Linked DNA regions of Daphnia pulex. The protein of the gene in region 3 binds, or shares a complex with, the protein of the main gene of each other region. Links are inferred from orthologs where the notes say so. Each region holds a gene or a part of one and is shown on either strand. Other genes may lie near its edges.

What was found.
Region 1: WD40 repeat-containing protein SMU1-like (region 3) and microfibrillar-associated protein 1-like share a complex: the UniProt entries of both Homo sapiens proteins name them as parts of the spliceosome B complex. The link is inferred for Daphnia pulex from reciprocal best matches to the Homo sapiens genes SMU1 and MFAP1.
Region 2: WD40 repeat-containing protein SMU1-like (region 3) and pre-mRNA-splicing factor 38A-like share a complex: the UniProt entries of both Homo sapiens proteins name them as parts of the spliceosome B complex. The link is inferred for Daphnia pulex from reciprocal best matches to the Homo sapiens genes SMU1 and PRPF38A.
Region 4: WD40 repeat-containing protein SMU1-like (region 3) and splicing factor 3B subunit 3-like share a complex: the UniProt entries of both Homo sapiens proteins name them as parts of the spliceosome B complex. The link is inferred for Daphnia pulex from reciprocal best matches to the Homo sapiens genes SMU1 and SF3B3.

What each region holds. Positions count from the first base shown.
Region 1 is NC_060019.1:11,264,808-11,270,154, forward strand, and holds microfibrillar-associated protein 1-like, read right to left. Parts: upstream 3,436-5,347; 5' UTR 3,293-3,435; exon of another isoform or gene 3,225-3,292; intron 2,512-3,224; 5' UTR 2,021-2,511; coding exon 1,803-2,020; intron 1,734-1,802; coding exon 1,415-1,733; intron 1,350-1,414; coding exon 1,271-1,349; intron 1,209-1,270; coding exon 1,051-1,208; intron 988-1,050; coding exon 661-987; intron 599-660; coding exon 320-598; 3' UTR 210-319; downstream 1-209. Other genes in the region: ADP-ribosylation factor 6, read left to right, coding at 4,549-4,630, 4,713-4,816, 4,889-5,087, 5,160-5,302. UniProt on the Homo sapiens protein: Involved in pre-mRNA splicing as a component of the spliceosome.
Region 2 is NC_060022.1:2,882,031-2,886,440, reverse strand, and holds pre-mRNA-splicing factor 38A-like, read right to left. Parts: upstream 2,379-4,410; 5' UTR 2,234-2,378; coding exon 2,104-2,233; intron 2,039-2,103; coding exon 1,879-2,038; intron 1,814-1,878; coding exon 1,692-1,813; intron 1,656-1,691; exon of another isoform or gene 1,629-1,655; coding exon 1,543-1,628; exon of another isoform or gene 1,478-1,542; coding exon 887-1,477; 3' UTR 838-886; downstream 1-837. Other genes in the region: mitochondrial import inner membrane translocase subunit Tim16-like, read left to right, coding at 2,683-2,841, 2,920-3,141; furin-like protease 1, read right to left, coding at 3,698-3,993, 4,052-4,261, 4,341-4,410. UniProt on the Homo sapiens protein: Involved in pre-mRNA splicing as a component of the spliceosome.
Region 3 is NC_060024.1:13,654,353-13,659,449, reverse strand, and holds WD40 repeat-containing protein SMU1-like, read right to left. Parts: upstream 3,248-5,097; 5' UTR 3,125-3,247; coding exon 3,099-3,124; intron 3,032-3,098; coding exon 2,965-3,031; intron 2,881-2,964; coding exon 2,737-2,880; intron 2,668-2,736; coding exon 2,553-2,667; intron 2,484-2,552; coding exon 2,065-2,483; intron 2,002-2,064; coding exon 1,778-2,001; intron 1,703-1,777; coding exon 1,408-1,702; intron 1,332-1,407; coding exon 1,179-1,331; intron 1,112-1,178; coding exon 1,013-1,111; 3' UTR 954-1,012; downstream 1-953. Other genes in the region: BTB/POZ domain-containing protein 17-like, read left to right, coding at 30-257, 323-420, 505-795. UniProt on the Homo sapiens protein: Involved in pre-mRNA splicing as a component of the spliceosome. Regulates alternative splicing of the HSPG2 pre-mRNA. Required for normal accumulation of IK.
Region 4 is NC_060019.1:9,348,005-9,353,139, reverse strand, and holds the start of splicing factor 3B subunit 3-like, read right to left. Parts: upstream 3,252-5,135; 5' UTR 3,097-3,251; intron 2,771-3,096; 5' UTR 2,715-2,770; coding exon 2,489-2,714; intron 2,424-2,488; coding exon 2,253-2,423; intron 2,066-2,252; coding exon 1,789-2,065; intron 1,597-1,788; coding exon 1,446-1,596; intron 1,235-1,445; coding exon 993-1,234; intron 826-992; coding exon 647-825; intron 588-646; coding exon 432-587; intron 178-431; coding exon 26-177; intron 1-25. UniProt on the Homo sapiens protein: Component of the 17S U2 SnRNP complex of the spliceosome, a large ribonucleoprotein complex that removes introns from transcribed pre-mRNAs.

The DNA.
Region 1 (5,347 bases), on a different chromosome or scaffold from region 3:
ACCCCCATGACCCCATCCCAACCCAGCCCGGTACACAGCACATCTAGCGGGTGCGAAAAAAGTTTTCTCAGCCCAGAAGGAGCCAGGACCAGAAAGACAAAGACCAGCAGAGAAGAGAACTACTAAGTATAGGGTAATCTAAGATTTAAAATTTTACTACAAGCAGTGACTGAAAAAAAAAGATTACCCCTTCCTTTAGATACATTGAATGTCTGGAAACATGTTTAATTCACGTACGATTGATGGTTTGCATGTATCAACCACAAAGATGAGACATTGTTACAAAATTCAATTTCAAATATAAAAACAGTGCCACAACTCAAGTACCCGAGTTATTGTTCTTCTTCAAAGCAGGCCTTTCGAACACTTGTTTTACTCCACCAGCATGCTGTGTGTAGAATTTCAAATTCTGAGCAGTATGCGTGGCCCACGGTGCGTCGGCTTGTGATGTATCTTGATCCACCAAATGTGTGTATTTGGTTCGACCACTGCGACCGAAATTCTTAACTTGCATCACTTTAGGCAGAACAGTCTTATCGAAGTGATCTTCAAGAGTTGGCACAGCAAAATCGCGTTTGAAAACTTCCTTGTCTTCGTCCTGTTAGAGTAAGAGTTTAAATTATTTTTAAAATCCCAAATATCTTTAAAAGCTGAACTTACGAGGTAAAAGGCACCGCGATGATAGTATTTCTGTAGGAACTTATATTTGCCCTTTGGTGCCTTGTTTGTGACTTCCTTTGGATTGTTCTTGAATTCCAGTCGCCGTTCTTCTTCGGTCATATTACGGATACGTTCAATTTCTTGTCGTTCTCTTTCTTCTGCCTCTCTTTCATCTCGGTCACGCTTATTGCGTTTAAGTTCACGTAATTTCCAGGTCTCGTATTCGAGTTCTTCATCCTCGGCATCCGTCAACACCGACAAGATTCCTGATTCAAGGTCTTTTTCGTCTTTGGCTTGCATTTCTTTTCTGACTTCTTCTTCAACAACCTGTTTAATAGATTTTTAATGCTTTTTTAGTTCAAAAAGTGTATAAATTTAAAAATGGTTTACCTTTAAGGTATAGCGGCGACGTTCTTCGGCAAGCTTTTTAGCTTCAAGTTCCATAAGCTTTTGTTTTTGCAATTCCTTTTCCTTCTCAGCTATGGTTATACGTTCTTTCTTGCTAACGAAGATGGGCTTCAGTCTTGGACCCGTTTCTTCCTCAGAATCTAGGATAAAAAACACAACAGATTTAGAGTCTTGTTCACATCAAGGGACTTTTATTTCAAACCTGTATATTCTTCATATTCTGAAGCTTCGTCATCTTCATCTTCCTCACTTTCCTTCTCCTCCTCTCTTGCCAACAACTCCTACAACAAAATTTGCAATTGAATTGAATTGATCAATGATCATACTACAAAGTATATTAACTTACTTCTTCTTGCTGTTTAATAACAGCCTTCTGACGTGCAATCATTCTTCTGCGCTCAATGTCATCTTCATCAAGATCTTCTGCCTCATCCTCTTCTTCACTTGATTCCCATCTTCGGGCATTTTTGCTAAAACTTACTTCTTCACTTTCTAAATGAGGTGTTACTTCATCTTCTTCTGTTCCAATAATTTCAGGCTCATGGATATGACGATGCCTTTCAATTCTATGGTCGTCAACTTCACGATTTAAAAGACGTTTTAATCTTCTGTCACTGTGAGCAGTAAGTGGAAGATCTGGGGTTTCGTCCCATTCTTTTTCAGGACTACAATTTAATCAAATTTTTTAAATATACAAGCATATAAATACATATCTACAATCAATAATTTAATACCTTTCTTCTACTGGTCTTCCTCTTGCCTGCTTTCTTGGTCTGATAAACTCTTCTTCATCACTATCATCTGAAGATGAATGTGTAGTAGCGTAGTCTGGTCGTTTGCCTGATACGTAACGATTGACTTTAACTTTTTGCATAGATATCTCCCCTTTGTCATTTTTCACAGGGATAGCACCCGCGGTTGAAAGGATAGGGACCACTTTGGATGACGACATTTTCACAAAAAATTGTCTTAATCTTAATACGGAACGACCATATACACGCGTTTGTTGTCTGAATTTTCACTCAATGTTTTTTTCGTTGCCATTGCATACTCTATTCAGGGCCAGTGGGCCACTCATCGGATCACCAGAGTGCAGAGTCCTCTGTTGGCGAATGAAATTGAAGACGACTACTGCGCCATCTAAGAACTTAAATTGAAATAAAGAATGACGTGACTTTTGCCGTCTCCTATGGCACGTAATATTGTATGACATGTTATTGCAGACTGTGACCAGTACCCAGCAATTGATGTTGCTGTAATCCACTGAAAATCTGATTATGCTGCTTCTAGGCAACACAATGCAAACACGATAGTTTTATCTGAGTTTTATTAGCTGATAGCAGGATCAGGATAAAGAGGCCGTGACCAAAATCCATGGAGACCTTTCGCCAAGTTCTATCCAGGGATTGGCAACCGTGAGGAATCTCGTTTACCTTGAAGTGCCTAAGAATCACGAAATAAATCTGAGAAAATTAATGTCGGAATTTAGGAATTTGGACCTCATTATGACGTTACAATAAATCACTCATTTATTGTATATAGCAACTACCTACTTACTACTTACTTTGTAGGAAATTACTTATGTCGTAGCTAGATTTTACACATCGCACTATTTGATCGCAATGGCGGTGGTTTTACGAGTTTCAGCTTATTATCAACTGTTTCGAAACACCAAAGTATTCAAAGCTCCGCATGACTTCGTGCAGTTTTCACCGGATCGTCGAAGATATTGAACTCAAGGACATCGATTAGACACACACTTCAAAATTTACCTCACGCTATATTCCACTAAATATATCCGCTCGAAAGTTTAACCGAATATTTTTGGTGGTTCTACCGCTTTTTTTTTATCGTCATAGCATAATAATGTGCGGTTTCGAAATTCTACTTCGATGTCTCCATTTTATTTCTTAATAAATAACTGTTTTGTACTGTAATAAAAGAAAGGAGCTAAAATAAATCTTTCCAGGCAACAAGCACTAGTGTGCTTATTTATAGAAAAATACCTAACCAGTAATAAGTATTGTGGGAGAAAAGCAAATCTTTTGAGTAGTCAAGTACACATGTGTCCGAAAAGCAACAACAAGAAATAACAATCCATCAAAAAAACGTCATAACATGGTGGCGGTGACTGTATAGAAACACTATGTACAAACCATGAACATATTTATGGTGAATATGCTTCTTTTGGAAAAAAAACAAAAGACTACGGCTAGCGGCTTACATGGTGAAATGTTTCAGTTGTAAAATGAGTAATTCAGCTTCCTTAAATGCACTTTGATAGCCGAGACAACCTGTTAGCTGTTGCTGCGGGGGGTTAAGGGAGGAGATAGGGATCCGGCTTGAGGCATTTTGTCGACTTCCGGCAACCTAAAAAGAAAAATGTGTTCATGAATTTCAACTTTTCTTTCGTAATCTTGACGCCAGAGACCGCTACTTAAATTGAAATTATAGACGTCGCTACTAAACACTTGCCGTATTGCCGATCAAATTTTTAGAAATGTTAGAAACTGCTAAATAAATTTTCCCCTTTCGAACCAATGAATCCTGCATTAAAAATTATAATAAAATAATTTATCACTCGTTGTTTCAATAATACATTTTAAAGATGTGGGAGGGAACACGTTGACGGTTAGGGAATGGTTTTGAAATCGAATCAAATCGAAGCTTGGGTGGGCGGATCAGAAGGTGGGCAGAAAAGGGGACACTGGCTGTCAGTGTTGGAATTCCATCTGCTCAATTACACTGGTGTGTGTATGTCATTCCTCTCGTTATTCCACTTGAATAAGTGTAATAATAGAAATAATTGATTAGTTGAGTGGAATGTGTTAAAGTCTGAAATAGCTAGTTGTTTTCAGACGCCGCCGTCACCAAAATTGGAAGAAGGAAAAAAAAGCCATCTGGTGAGATGCAAGGAGTACTATTCTGTCTGTTCATTACATTGGAAGGCCCGAGTTTTTTGGATCTTCTGAAGACTTGCAAAGATATCGGGAAGACCGGGTCGGGTGTTTGGGCGGCTAACTGAAGTGACAGGTGCCTTTTTATCTGAAGAAGCAAAGAAACTATTTATTTTCGCCTGTTTCCAACGCCTTCCATCGATTTCTTAGTGCTCACATCAAAAACAAAATAGTGTTTGTGCAAATAACGACTCCGGTTCATAGGAATGCCTTCGAAAATACTTCCATATTACAGCTAAAATTCCAGTAAACGTCATTGTTGAGTCTACATTAAAGTAAGTGGAAAACCTGATCTGATAATAGTATGTTAGCTAGTATGCTGTAAATGACTGAGCAAAGTCTGTTTATTTTTTTCTGATAACAACTTTTGCCACAAATGTCACTGAAAAGTTACCAAACTAGTTTGACACTTCAGTTCTACAGATGTGGATAAACTATATGGCTGTGGCTGACAGGGTCATTTTGTTGCTTGAAATAAAGTTCTTTTCTTGTAAAACAGCTTGTTAGTGAGCTGATTAGGAGAATGGGGAAAATACTGTCCAAAATATTCGGAAACAAGGAAATGAGGATACTCATGCTGGGGCTGGATGCAGCTGGAAAAACAAGTGAGATAAAGAATTTTATGTGTTGTCTGATAGCATTGGTTTTTTTCCAAGTTATACTTATTATTTTTGTTTTTCAAAATAGCAATTCTATACAAGCTGAAATTAGGACAGTCAGTCACAACAATTCCCACCGTTGGATTCAATGTTGAAACTGTAACATATAAAAATGTCAAATTCAATGTTTGGGTAAGCTAGTTCCTTTTGACCTCACCCATCAAATTTCTAAACCCAACACTAAAATATGAATCATTACTGCAGGATGTTGGTGGCCAAGATAAGATCCGCCCACTGTGGCGACACTATTATACTGGTACCCAAGGTTTGATATTCGTTGTGGACTGCGCAGATCGAGATCGAATTGACGAAGCTAGACAAGAACTTCATAGGATCATAAACGATCGTGAGATGCGTGATGCCATCATCCTTATATTTGCAAATAAACAAGACCTCCAGGATGGTGAGTATTTTACAATTATTATAATTGAGACTGTGGAACCCCAATTTATTCACGACATTTTCATGTTGACAGCCATGAAACCACACGAAATTCAAGAAAAACTGGGGCTGACTCGTATTCGTGATCGGAACTGGTACGTCCAGCCAGCATGTGCCACAACAGGCGACGGCTTGTATGAAGGACTAACGTGGTTAACATCTAATCACAAATCGTAATGAATCATTCGTTCAAGTGCTGTGTATAACAAAATTCAACAAGGT
Region 2 (4,410 bases), on a different chromosome or scaffold from region 3:
ATCTTCTCTCAGTGTCTAGAAAAAAAAATGGTGGAATTTCGATTCTATCAAAGACACTTACACCATCTAGTGGACATAGTTTTTAGCCAACGAGTGATCTAATGGCAATACATTTTATAGCTGGAAAAATGATGTCCAGTTCCAGTAAAAGAAAAGAAACCATGAAGATCCCACACATCACAGATCATTTAAATTTTAGTCAGACCACGTTAAAAAGGATTGGAAGCTGGTGTCGTCTGCATCTCCGAGGCCGTAGTACCGTAATCCGTGTTGAGCTTTTATCTTATAGGACGAGACTACGAGATCTTTAGCCTAACTAGTAACTACGGTACTGAGGAAAAATTGTAAGTGACGAAAAATAATAGGAAAAATTTCAAATGAGGAACAAGTCCTTTTCTGATTGTTATTCTTGCAACGGCTGATGCTTCGTAAGTTCTTAACGAAAGGAAATTTTGGAAAAATTATCTCAAAAAATAAAAATCACCATAAATTCATACTGGTGCACCAGCCAATCATGAAGTCATTACTGCGCGCCGAGGGCAATAATAGTTTTTCGGGATCCGTGAACAGATATAAACTTTTTCGCCATTTTACAAAGAATTCAGAAAACGGGGTCAACATTAAATAGTAGTGTCAAAATGATGATTGATCTACAAATTTGTGTTTAAAATGTCTGTTGGGATCAGCTAATACTTACCTTGTTTTTGACTCTTTTACATTTGCAATAACGAACACCGTCTCACTTAGGAAGAATCCTAAGTTCTTGTCTAAGTTGAAGTCTGCACATCCAACACAAGAAATAAGAATAAAGAATCAGATAGACCTCGGAATAATAAGGAAATGAAAAGAGTGTTTATTACAAAACGATTAGAAAAAAGACAGCAGATTACGGTCGCAAAGGAGCCAGCCCCAACTTAGCTCGCAAGGCATTCGCTTCTGCAATTTCAGGATCGATGGCAGCACTGGAACTGCTACTCTTTTTGCTATCTTTCTTTTTGTTGTTGTACTTGTCACGATCTTCGCCTCTTTTGCTTCGATCTCGTTCTGATTCACGATCTTTCCCGCGGTCCTTGCGGTCTCTACGATCCCTGTCTTGGTCTCTTCTGTAGTCACGCGAACGTTCGACTGAGCGGCTTCGCTGGCGGCGACTTCGATCCCTTTCTCTTTCACGACTGCGGTCCCTGTCACGCTCACGGCTGCGATTCCTTTTGTCACGACTTCGACTTCTGTCTCTATGTCGATCACGTCTTTCCCTACTTCTCTCTCGTTCACGTTCTTTATCCCTATTACGACGAGAACGTTCCCGTTCTCGATCACTGTCCTGCTTTGAACGCGATGTAGTAGGAGGGGGCGACAACGAACCTCCTTTCCTTTCACCCTCTTCTTCTTCACTTTCTGAATCTTCTTCCTCCAAGTCTTCTTCCAAAGCTGATACTCTCGGCTCAACTTCATTAGCTTCTTCCAGAATTTGACGTTTCTGAAAGTAAAATAAACCGTATTTAATCAGTATTTTTTAGGTTGAATACTAATTCACATTTATACCTGAAGTCTGGGCAGGATAACATCACAAAAACGCTCTTCTCTCAGTAAACTATCAATGAAATCATCCATGTAAAGAAGCTCAAAATCTAAATAAAACCACATGTTAATTTGCAGTATTCTTTTTAAAAATATCTTATTTTTATTATTACTTCCTTCCTTGTTTTGAAACCGAATTTTTCTGTAATCATTGTAAAGTGGTTCTAAATATTTATAGATTTCCACAGATGTTCCAACAAGTCTCATGTAGAATGCTCCCAAGGCACGGACATATCTATAATGATACATTATATTAGGTGATTTCCTGTATAACTTGTCTGTTTTGGTCAAAGAACTTACTTGAAATCTTCATTTTTTATAAACTCCACTACAATGTCCTTTTCTGGTTGGATTTGAAGCATTTTTAGTGTAAGTGAGAGAAATGGAGTAGGTTTAACATTACCACCAAATATTCCACCAATGTACCTTAATTCCATGGCCTTATCCACCATCAACTCAGCTAAAAAAATACATATACATAAATAAAATGAGTGCATCAAAACACAAGTAAAATTTTCAATATACCTGTCAAAGCAAAGCATTCTTCTTTCCAGTACTTTGAATCATAAATTCGAGTTCTAATAATCTTTTCAACCAAGTATTGAGGATTTGTTCCTTTAACAGAAATTGCCTCTTTGATTGTTCGATTAGCCATTTTGAATTAATCTAAAACACTAGATGTGTACAGTCAAAAGAATAATCATTGAAATTTAACTGTGTTGATAAAAAGTAAAACTTTGTCGGCATTAGCAACGGAACGACAGAACGACGCTTGAATCCGTCGTCTGCTACGGACAGACAGAGACATCAAGTGGTCAAGTGGGTGGGGCGATCAATTCATCAATTGAAAAGAAAATTTTATCGTTATTTAGTTTACTTTTATGAAATATTTTTATATTTTTAACAAATCAATCACTTAAGTTATTTAAGATTTTTCAAACTAAATTTTTTAAACTGACCTGTCTGTTCTGAGAGAAGAGTCTTCATTTTTTTCTGTAGCTTTTCCGTTTGTTTTTCGCCTGCTAAACATTCCAGTATACTACCTTGATACTACTACAGACGTAAATCATCACGTAATCATTTTGAATCTATCTCGCCACGGTTATGGCAAAATATTTGGCCCAAATAATTGTTATGGGGGGCCAGGTTATTGGGCGAGCGTTTGCTAGAGCTCTTAAACAAGAATATCAAGCTAGCCAGGAAGCTGCCAAAAGAGCTGGTGGTGGGAAAGCCGGCGCATCACGTGTAGAAGCTAACTTCAAGGTTTGTTTGTTACACACAAAAGTTATGTAATATCAGTAAATTTTAAAAAGTTAACATGTTTTTTTTTTCATTCTGTAGACAGGCATGACCCTTGAGGAAGCAAAAGAAATCTTGAATGTGGATAAATTAGAACCTGAGTTGGTGCAGAAGAACTATGATCACTTGTTCCAAGTTAATGACAAGACGAAAGGTGGTTCATTCTACCTTCAATCTAAAGTATACAGAGCTAAAGAACGACTTGACCAAGAAATGAAACATGAAACAAAAAAACAAGAACCGTCAAAAGAAAATAAAATGTAACCTTCTCCAAAACGACAGTTAAGGTTATGGAAATTATCTGGAATTTATCTTTGTAGTCAAATTGAAAAATTGTACATATAGGGATAACTAATAAAAATCATTTTTTATAACCTTTTTTATTCTAATATTATAGAATCCTTATGCATATTTTTTTATTGTGATGTGATGTATAAACATTTTTTCAGGTATGATTTTAATTTAGTAGGCTTTGTTCTTACCTTTATATTTGAATCATATATTTTAGTGAAAACTTTAATCTTAACACAACTTGTGATTGCTGCAAATTTATTTCACTATACATTTACCAAGCTCATTTAATTATTTGTTTTATATGCATTAGGCCTTCTATAGCAAACACGGTTTTTACCAGTTTTTACAATGACTGACGACGACAATCAATATGGTATCCGTTAGAATGTAATTTATTACAGAATCTGGCAAACCGCTCATTCAAATATTTATAGAACCTTTTTACAAATATAATCTTTACATTTTATAAATATTAAAAACTGACATTTTATCTTCTAAACAATGTTGACTTTAGAACTTTTACTCTTTAAACTGATTTTTCGGCGCCAATAGGTGGAGGAAGATTTGCGCTTGTTTGTGTCAACAGATCGTAGTCACCTTGCCTGTGGTTCGTTTCCCGTTCGTTGCTGCCGCTACAACAGTTTAAAACAAAAGAAGAACTGAAACTCTTTTTAGTGCACATCATGTAAATCGTTAAAGCCATCACGAGTGCTAAATTAAACGCCAGAGCCAGTTCGACACCCACGGACCAGTTTTCGTAGCCCGTTAATTGCTTTACGAGTTCATGCGGATAACAGTGCGATTCTGGTTCTATTTGGGATCCTACGGTGAAACAACATTTGTTAATAGATTTTTCAAACATAGGTCTAACCATCAGTACCTGGTATAGAAACAAACTTGAGCTGTGAATCAGGATAGCATGAAGTGCACTGAGAATCACTTGGTCCTCTGCAGTAAAGACAAGAATAGTGGCACGGAACGCATACACCGCTAAGGAGACCATTTAGTTCGGTGCGATTCATTGGATGTGAAGCATTCGGACAGACTGCCAAGCACTTGCCCTCCCACAAATAGGAACCACTTTCACACCCTGGGAGCCACAGCAGAAGAGGTATAATGGATTCAAATATGGTATGTTAATCAATCATGCTAAGTTAATCAAGTAGTACCTCTAAGACTTCTGCTAACGGTCGTCATTAAGAGAGTTTGGGGCAATTCTGCTTCACGGTTTTTCTCCAC
Region 3 (5,097 bases):
CATTCCAGTAATCAATTACGTCTTAATAGGGCAAAGGGAAGAATTCACAGAAGCACTGTTGCAACAGAACAATCCCGATTCCCAGTTGTTCACACCGCGTCTTTACACTTCCGAAAAATGGGGCACTCACATAACACTGGAGAATTTCCCCTCATTACCGGCGTACCACACGAGAACTCTGTTGCTCTCTTCGCCGGCTTCTTGTGCCGACTTTGAAACAGACGCCTATGAGTGGGTTATCGAGTTCTCTCCCAAAGGTAGAATAACATTCATACCCTGATAGCCCAATTTCAATTTACATACCTTTTTGACTGTGTGACAGGAGTGTGGTTTCGGCCTTGCTGTCTAATTGTCTGGCAAGGAAATATCGAAGTTCCAGAAACAGTTTTGCGTACAGTAAGACTGTCACTCATGCTGAAGGTCGTTTCATCGTTAATCTTTTTTTTTTTTTTTTTTAATTTGATTGAAGCGCCATTCTGAATTGTTGAACTTTTGTTGATGCAGGACCCTATTGAAGCTCACGTCCGTGTAGCTGTACTGGTTTACGGTGTACACGGCGGAGTTGAACATGTGCGAAGCACAACGGTCCGGAATTTCATCTTCTCGCAGGAAGAACCAGTGCTGCGATATGACAACTTACTGACATACTCGGACATCAATCCGGATCGGTTCGATTGTGATCGGCCACAGCCAAATAGTCCACCATCGCCTTTCCTGGTTGGGCCCAAGCGTGACACGCTCAAGGTCCAACTCATCATTCTACCTCAGCGACCTTACAAGCGACGGGAAAGATGAAAACACCTTAAGTGGAAATACGGGCTAACAACGAAAGAGTCAGGAACCAAGAGAAGCAGCACAAAATTATGAATGAAATTTATGCCTTGTGTTTCACCATCATGTTGTTTCAACTCCAATCTGTTGACTCTTTGCTGTGAAAATCGAAGAGTCATTTCTAGCTTCACAAAACGACACCTGTATTTTTCCTCGTTCAAAATAGATTCGTCATCAAAGTTTAAGGTCGCCACATTCTCAGAAATCCGTCTTCACTGTAGGTACATAGGAGATTTTGATGCGGGTGGTGACTCATGCCTATGACTTCTTTCTCGTGGACCTAAATCAGAAATGGAGAAATGAGAACGACAACTAGCAGCGAAATTACGAGAAAGAATAAAAAGTACCGTTAAAGTTTTTTCGAGTTTGCCTGATGCGATGGAGAAACAATAGAGCACCATGTCTTCACCGATGCAATAAATCCATTCGCCTTTAGGTGATAGGGTACAGCAAACAAAGTCACCACCATCACGCTTACCGCTGGTGAATGATCTGACAATCTACGCGTATTTTTTAATAAAGAACGAAATGGATTATTTTAGCGTTAGGCGATTAACGTTTAGATATTTCTCTTACCTGTCCCTGCATATTCATGATAACTACAGTACTGCTCTTATTGCTGACGATAAACTGCTCTGGGTTCTTGGGTAGGAGGGTGATGGTGTGAATCGTCAAGTCACCGCCTGATGAACCGCCCAGCGATTTGTACGTGGAGACGCACTCGCCCGATTTCATACTCCAGACTTTGACACTGCCGTCACAGGAAGCACTCAACACGTGATGACCATCGGCTGTGAAAATGGCTTCGTTGACGAAGGAAGTGTGGCCACGGAATTCTTTCAGAGTCTTGCCCGATTTTAAACCGTGGACTCTGCAAATAAAAGTTTAAGAATCAGCAAAGATCGTCGATTATTTTTCACAAAAAGATGGGAACAATTGCCTTTACCTGACGGACATGTCGAACGATCCTGTCAATAGCTGGCTGTTATCTTTGGAAAACTGCATACTGGTCACACCTTTGCTATGGGCTTTCTCAAATTTGCGTAGGCACTGGCCAGTCTGAATTTTCCAAACTTTGATTTTGCCATCTTGAGAGCCACTAGCAAGCATTTCAGAGTCACGACTAAAGGTTAGGCAGAGAATAGCATCTTCCATCATCATGAAATTGTCCTGGAGATAAAAACAAAAATATGTTACAGTGATTTGAAATTGAAGGGTACATTTCTTGATTACCTGAGCTTGGTATTTGAGATCTTTACGAATCTTTCCGGTGGTAAAATTCCAAACTTCAATAAAGCCGTCAACAGAGCCGGTGACCAGATACTGTCCGTCAGGTGAGAATTTTGCGCATTCGACGTGAGACTTTTGTCCGAATTTGATGTGTTTAGTCAACTGAGTAGGTGGCTGTTCCTCTTCTTGTTCTTTGATGGCAGCTTTACCTCTGAAAAGATCGATACTGGTACCGGGAGGCAAAAGTCCTTGATGCTGTTGCCATTTCAAAGATTGCCCGAGTAGAGCGAGTAGACGAGATGGTGGTACCACGGACACTTCTCCACTCAGAGCTTGAGCAATGGCTGCTCTCCGTTTTTCTTTACTGCTTCCTTCGGGATATGCTTCCCTGGTGTCAAAATAAGACCTAGCCAGCAGGTTTTCTATGGAAGACGAACAAAAAGAAATTCATCAATTACTGATGGTGGGTTGACTAAAGAAGAAGAACTGACCTAGATTTAAATATCGATCAGGTTCTTGCTGTTTCATAAGGGCCATAGGATCTGTCTGACGCAGCAGTGATCTGGCTGCCCCCAACTCACGGAGCTCTATCAATTCTAAAACGACCTAGCAATTTGTTACCCGTTATTATTATGACTCTAGAATTTGCAAAGATTCTTGATGAGTGATTGATACCTGTTCATAAAGGTCAATTAATTTCTTGTCTGGAAGTTTAAGAGATTGTGTTGCTTTTAAAACTGTATCCCAATGGCCACTGAGAATGTCATCTGCAAATGATTCAACTGAATCGACAGTGTTGAGAGAAATGCCTGTTTCATCCTACATAATGAGGAAGATAAAGATTTGTTTAATGAATATTGTTTTCGGCTACATTGAGTAAGAAAACAAAAACCGGCATGGTACCTGGAGCACTTGGAGGGTCCTCATCAAGTTAGACTCTTTCAAGAACTGCTGGATGAGACGAATAACGCTAGAAGATTAAGGAAATGCATGTTACATTAGGAACTCAATGTTTTAAAATGTATGTTTGTAATTACTCGGCTGATTCAATTTCAATAGACATTTTCAGAAACAATTTTTAAGAATTTCCAAATTGTAAACCGATCAGCTTCTTCTGTCACAAGTTTGTTTGTTTCAAGAGCCATCTAGAGCTCACTTTTAAAACTAGAGAGTTTCGTGCGAAATTTGAAAAATCAAAGAAAGTAAAGCTGCCAAGTTGGACAACATTGTCTTTTAGAGGTTTTATTAACCTTATAGTTAAATTACACCTATGTTCTTAATCTAAGAAATTAATTTGGATTTGATAATTTCAATGAATTGTCTATTTAACAAACTTTGGTCTGGGATAGAGTCCCAATCAAGAAATTTACGATATGCTATTTTAATTGTCGCAAAATGGGAATTACAGCCATTCATAAAATGTAGTCAAATAGCTTATTATTAATTCGATGAATTGCAAGTATAGCCATAACAATAGCAATGACTATAGCCCGAATTAGTAACCTACCTTCGTCTAAAAGAATTATATGTATACGTTTGTTTTGACTTGGATTTGTTTCGCCATTATATTATCGATCCGAGTCACGGACAAGCTGTCCTCAATCCGTTTCTTATTTTCTTTTTTCTTTTGTCCAGACGGCGAGCCATGAATGATTCATTCGTGCGCAAATTCCACAGATTTGGCCGTTCATTTGTCATTGGCTGTATACCGGTTCGCCTCGACCGTTGGTCGGCAAGTTGCGATATAGTTTATCCCCTTTCCCATTATATTATGCACCGACAATATGAAATACCTTGATCTCGTGCCTTTATTGCAGAGATAAATGCTGCCAACGGAATATATCGCTTATAGTCCCGATGGTATTTGAGCTGAAAAGATTGGAAATAAGGACAGCCCCCCGAAAGTCCTTGCGACATCCTTCAATTATTACAGCGCGGGGAAAGTTGTGGAAACCCTGTCAACATTTTTCTTCCGCAGCAGTTAATACAGCACACACTATACGGGCAGTAGAAAATCTGGTCGAATGGAAAGGCAGGAAAAAAAAAGAGAGATATGGAACAATGGAAATCATAGTAATCATAATAATAATAATGAAAGAGCGTGTGTGTATTTAATCAAAAAGTTGGCCAGTTTTCCCCACCACGCGCGCGACTCTTTTTCCCTTCCATTTGTTGAGTAATCACAGGAAAGAAAAAGCTGCTGGCGGGGCTGTTAGTTTTGCGATGACATAACACAACATAGTATATTCGGTGAAAAAGGGAAAAAGAAGTTTGAAAAGAGAAACACACCACGCGGGCTAATAGAAAGAAAAGAGAACCTATATATGAAAGAATAAGAGAGAGAAATAGTAGTAGAGTCGCCCTTAGATTTTTAGAAAGCGAGAGTGATTTCGCCTCTCTCCATCGTCGCTGCTGTGTTATTTCCATTTCCATTTCTTGTTTGTCTTGCCCTTCACCTAGATCACCATCCGTGCAACAGACCAGCAGAGACCTGCATTAGGGCGACCGAGCGACCACTTTTGGTCTCGAATGTCTTTGTCCTGTGCTGGCTGGCTGGTATAGTGGCTCTCTCTTCGTTGTTCACCGGCAACAACTCGCCGGATGAGCGCCTTGTAGTACCTTTTTTTATTTCTTGTCATACCTTAAGCTTAAGCTGCTTTTTATGGCCCACTTTTCCTCCTCCATTTTCACCTCTCGGCTCGGCGAGGTACGGACGAGAGTCAAGGACGAAAAAGTTTCAGGTTTCAACGACCCTACAAATCTAGAAATAGACGGGGCAGCATATTGCTGTAGAGATGTCTGATCAACTCTTGTATTTACTATGTATACACACACAAGATAGGGGGAGGGGATGAAGGATGTGAGTTGCCTTGACTCTCGGCCGCACCTCTCTCTCTCCCCATATAGGTGCGCGCTCTAAACGGCAGGTAGACGGTTTAATAGACAGCAGCACCGGTGTCTGTGCATGTATAGGGACAAAGATGGACCTTTGTTTTTTTTCTCTTCAAGGACTTTCACTTTCCATTTCATCCGGAC
Region 4 (5,135 bases), on a different chromosome or scaffold from region 3:
GGAGTATTTTGCAAAATTTTATTACCTGGAGCAATGCATTATCACCCAGCGAGGAACACCCTAGAGTAGGCGTCGTGCCCAAAAACCCTGAGTCTGTCACCTCTTCAACAGTTTCACCGATGGACAACACAAGTGTGGCATTCACGAATGACACAACAATGTAAGCATCAAACTCGTCTGTGAAGAAAAATAAAAGAAATTTAATAACCCCTCCATAATAATGAAAAGGACTCATGGGGGATAGATAAAAAAAAGGGAGTGTACAGCTGAGTAAGTGAACTGAAGCATTACTCCACTAGGTTCCAGGGAAGATCAAGGCTAACCTGAAAACAGTAAAAAAGACTGGCGTTTGAACTATGGTCCAACCACCAGTCGCTCACGTGCGCGCACAATGTGACACGCCCGCTGAGCACAACACAAATTAAAATTACCGTCGGCACGTTTTCTGACAGTCCACACTGCATTGGGGTTACCGGGAAGTTCAGAAACAGCCATCTCCGATACTTCCAATCCATGACGGAGAACACGAAGAGACGAACGAGAACTTCTACCACAAAGTGCATACAACTGGGGTGTATCCTCATTGGCTGTAAATTGAAAACAAATGTTAAAAACCTTTCAAAACAGGAGGAATTATCAAACCTACCGAGATCAGCAATATGGCAGGCCAGAACTGGAGATAAAGACTCCATCTCGTCCACGAGAACAAGATTCTTCAAAGGTCTCGGAGCAAAGAAGAAAGTATCTCCTTCCTCCAATGGTATAGTAGAGCTGAATTCGGGTTCATCGTCATCATCCCCCAAATGAGCAATCTGGTAAAGATAACTAATAACACAAGGAAAATTAATACACTTGAAAACCCATAAAACTACTTCAAATTTTGTAACCGAAATCAGAGTCAAAAATTATAATCAAAGTGTTATCTCAGGTGAAACACGGATGACAATACACATCATTTCAGCAAATAGAAAAAAAAATTTAAGAAAACTAACTGATTTCCAAATTCCGATGCGACGAATAGAAAGCCTGTCTTCAACACACACATGCTGGACGAAACTGGAACGGTATCAAAGTACTTGATTTTCAATTCTCTCACCACCTCTTCATCCATATCCATGGTGATCTTGAAAATATCGCCCTGCTCCGTTTGGACAAGGAAGAAAAACATGGCCTTGGTGCGATGGGAAGCCGAGCAGACGAAAATCATGCCCCTTTCCGGATCATCCAAGTCATTCTACAGAGAAAAAACTTATTACTACCGTCCTCAATACATGGAATAAATAACTTATCGGAGGTTCGTTCCAGGACAGCATGCAATATGCGCATTACAATCCAACGATGCAAACATCTCCAAGTATAGTTTAGGCACTAGTCGACCAGCACGTGTATAGAACACGGCTGGAGATACCGCGCGCCAAATAACATAATGAAATGATCAAACGTACCCTTCTTCTGGGGATTGGGCAACGAATGTCATGCTGTTCACCCAAATTCTTATATGTGATGTAGTTCTCGGAGCAAACCAGAACTCCGGAAGGTCCGTCGTTTCCTCCAGGAACAGTGATGAGGAAATTGGCGTGCTCATCCAACGGCTCACTATTAAAGTAAAGATATGTTCATCAAAATATTTCTTACATTGTCACACATAAGTCAACAATGTTACACACTATGATAGATAATGTCCCCCTTATGTATAGCTGCAATCTTTAAGTGACAAGAGAGCAGTAAAGTTAAGGGGTTTTGAAACCCAACCAGGCAAAACCAAAATCACCAAGATTTGTTACGCACCTATATTTCCTAACGACGTGGTTTAAACCCAGATCGAGTTCGTAGAATGTAAGCGTTTGTTGCGTCTTCTGTGCCGCCTCGCCTGTTGGATCACCATCGGCCTCTTCATAATCCATCTCCAAACAAGCAAATACAGGGTTTTCAAATCCCACGTCAACACCCACTATGTTGTAAACTAGAGTGTTTGACTTGTGAGCCTCCAGCGGAGAAGAAATGGTTAAATGGGCTTGGGCATCCCTGTTCAGAATGTAGACCAGTTTTTGCTTCTCAATAGCACCTGCAATGCAAAAAAAAAACATAAATGTTAAAGCAATGCGCACTCTCAAGCCACAAGATTTCGATTTTAAAAAATTCTCAGTAAAAACGTTAGATATCAGCATTATCTTTCTCAGATGGGGAAAGAAGACATAAAAACGTAACTCATCACTTGCAAGAATTTAAATTAAAAACGGATCAAAACTTACTGATCATAACAGCTCTGCCTTTGGGATCAATTGCCATGTACTGTCCAGGAACAATCCGACGACAACCGCTTTTGCCGTACGTTTCTTGGTGCACCTTATCAAACACATTTTTGGCAGCATTGTATTCAAGAATGACAATTCGCCCAGAGTCTGATCCGACCACAAGGTAATCTAAATACAGAATTAATGAAAGTTAGCAGGATGTATGTTTTAAAAATTATATTTGCACAACTCACCCTTATTTCCTCCAGTAAGCCTGAAACTAATGATTGACCTGATGATTCCAAAAACCTCTTGACTGAGAAGTGTGTGTACTTTGCCAGTGTTGGGATCCGGCTTCACAATTTCGAGTACCTTTCCACGAGCAATGACAATCTCCTGTTGCTTGGTGCCACTGAAGTTGCCCTGGACTGCCTGAATGATGCCAGTGGCACGCTGCAGAGTCAGATTGTAAAGATACATTTTCTTTCAAGTTGACGTGTCCAATGTGTAACTTGAACTGCCTAGATGAGCATCACCTGCGAAAATGTTATCAGATATAATTCTTACATTTGTCCAACATGTTTAATGACAATGTTACACACCATTTGAAAATTAATGTCCCCCTCATGTATAGCCACCAAACTTAATTCACAGAAAGGCGGTAAAGTTGTAAGGGGTTTTCTTTTCTTTAATAGCTAGACGAGTACGCGAAAGAAACTACAGCCCCGGCATCTCACCCGGCAAGGTTTTCAAATTGACATGCTTCAATATTTTAAACATCGCCAAAAACACACATTTAACCATCAAAATAACTGCTTTTCAACTATCTGGAACTAAAATGTGTAGTCAAACTTGAATTTACCTGTGGATGTTACAGATTTTCCATGATGGAAAATTCAGCAAAGGTTGAGTGAAATCTCTCTTGGCTCCGGCGTCGCGCTCGAGTTTAGGGTTCGACTTCTCGTGCATTGTGTGATAGGCAATATTTTTGAACATCTGACATCGACTCTCTACTTGGTCTATCCCTAAACACAGCATTTTCAATGCATTTGCGCTTTCTTTATCACAAGATTTTTTAAATTATTATTATTATTTATAGAACGATTTCATAATGCATTATACAATAAAATTGTGAAATTAATAAAAAATTTCAGTGGTGATAATCAAGAATGATTTATTCACAGCTGTTTTTATTACTCATAAAGTAATTCAAAAGACGTGTTCATATTCCGATCCCTTGCTATGCGCGCGAGTTTCTCTCTAGAACCACCATGCAGCCACGCTTTGAATAGACAAGTTCGGGATGCTGAGTTGCACAACCGCAAAATTAGGATCGTGCGCCAACGAGTTTTTGTAACGTTGTGGGGATAGTAGAAAGCGGGTTTTTTATTATTTAAGCATAGAATTACTTATCTAATCTTAGAAATGTTCAGGATTATCGTTGTTTAGAACATTCTGCTTTTTATAGAGTAATTTTAAATGTATAATTCAGCTTAGTTTACCCATTCAAATTAAAGAAAGTCCAAGCCTGGGATGCTGTTTAGTCTTTTCTTGTGTGTTTGAGCTTGTCACTTGTCAGCAGATCTGTCAAAAAACACAAGAAAAGACTAAACAGCATCCCAGGCTTGGACTTTCTTTAATTTTAATGGGTAAACTAAGCTGAATTATACATTTAAAATTACTCTATAAAAAGCAGAATGTTCTAAACAACGATAATCCTGAACATTTCTAAGATTAGATAAGTAATTCTATGCTTAAATAATAAAAAACCCGCTTTCTACTATCCCCACAACGTTACAAAAACTCGTTGGCGCACGATCCTAATTTTGCGGTTGTGCAACTCAGCATCCCGAACTTGTCTATCTTTTAAAATTTCTTATTCAAAAATTTTTATTTGCGGTGCGGTAAGGAATAACGAATAAGGGTGTTGAAGCACTTATCTTTTTTTTTCAATTCATAATGTACCGTTGAATTCATTTCGAGTCATTCAATTCATATTGACTGAAACAATCGAGTTCCCGAACTTTACCGATTAACTCGTCCTCTGTCGCCAGTGATGGAATGTGGAACGGCTTGCAGTCGGAAATCAACTCTTGACTTTTGATGTTTCCTATTAAGAACAAGTTTAGAGGTTTGAAAAAAAACGAAACTAGAAAAAACGAAGAATTTGATGTTGTCCTTGCATTCTTTGGAACAGCCTTTATTGCAGCATCTTCCAAAAGATAGCCGCAGCGAAATTCTTCGACGTTTGGAATTTAACATCGTCGACTTGTTGTTGTTGTATACGCGATATCAGCAGTCGGTAGTTTTGGGCCAACTTTCGTCGTCGTCGGGAACAGCATGAGATTATAGTTTTCTACACTGTCATAAATGCGTTGAGATAAGGCGCTGCTGGGCGCGGTATGAAATCCCCTTGTTCCGTAATATAACATGCTGCAACCGCTATAAGCCATGTACGCGCATTCGTGGTTTTTATCTGATGTACAGTAGAACAAGTTCTAACTTTCCATATGCCATCTTATTAAGGTTATCCTCTCTGACTATACAGAAACAAATCAACCTCAATAGGGATTTTTTAGAGCTACATAGTCACAGTGACGAACGCGACGGTATTAGCCAATGTGTTTGAATCCGGCGATTAATAGTCCGCTCGATTGGAAACCGTGAAATCGTTTCCGAAATTATGCAGGCAATCAATGCTCTGCTGCACTATCGAGAGCTTTTTTCTTTTGGCCGAATGTATATATCGCAGCACTCGAATTCGCATTTCGAACGCGGGTTTCGCCCCGGTCTATTGCCTTTTGATCGTGAAACTGGCAGCTGTTTCAGCGCGCAATTCAGGAACACGCCTCTCGATGTTATTTCGTTTGCCAAGAAAGAAATTCACGCACAGCACACACA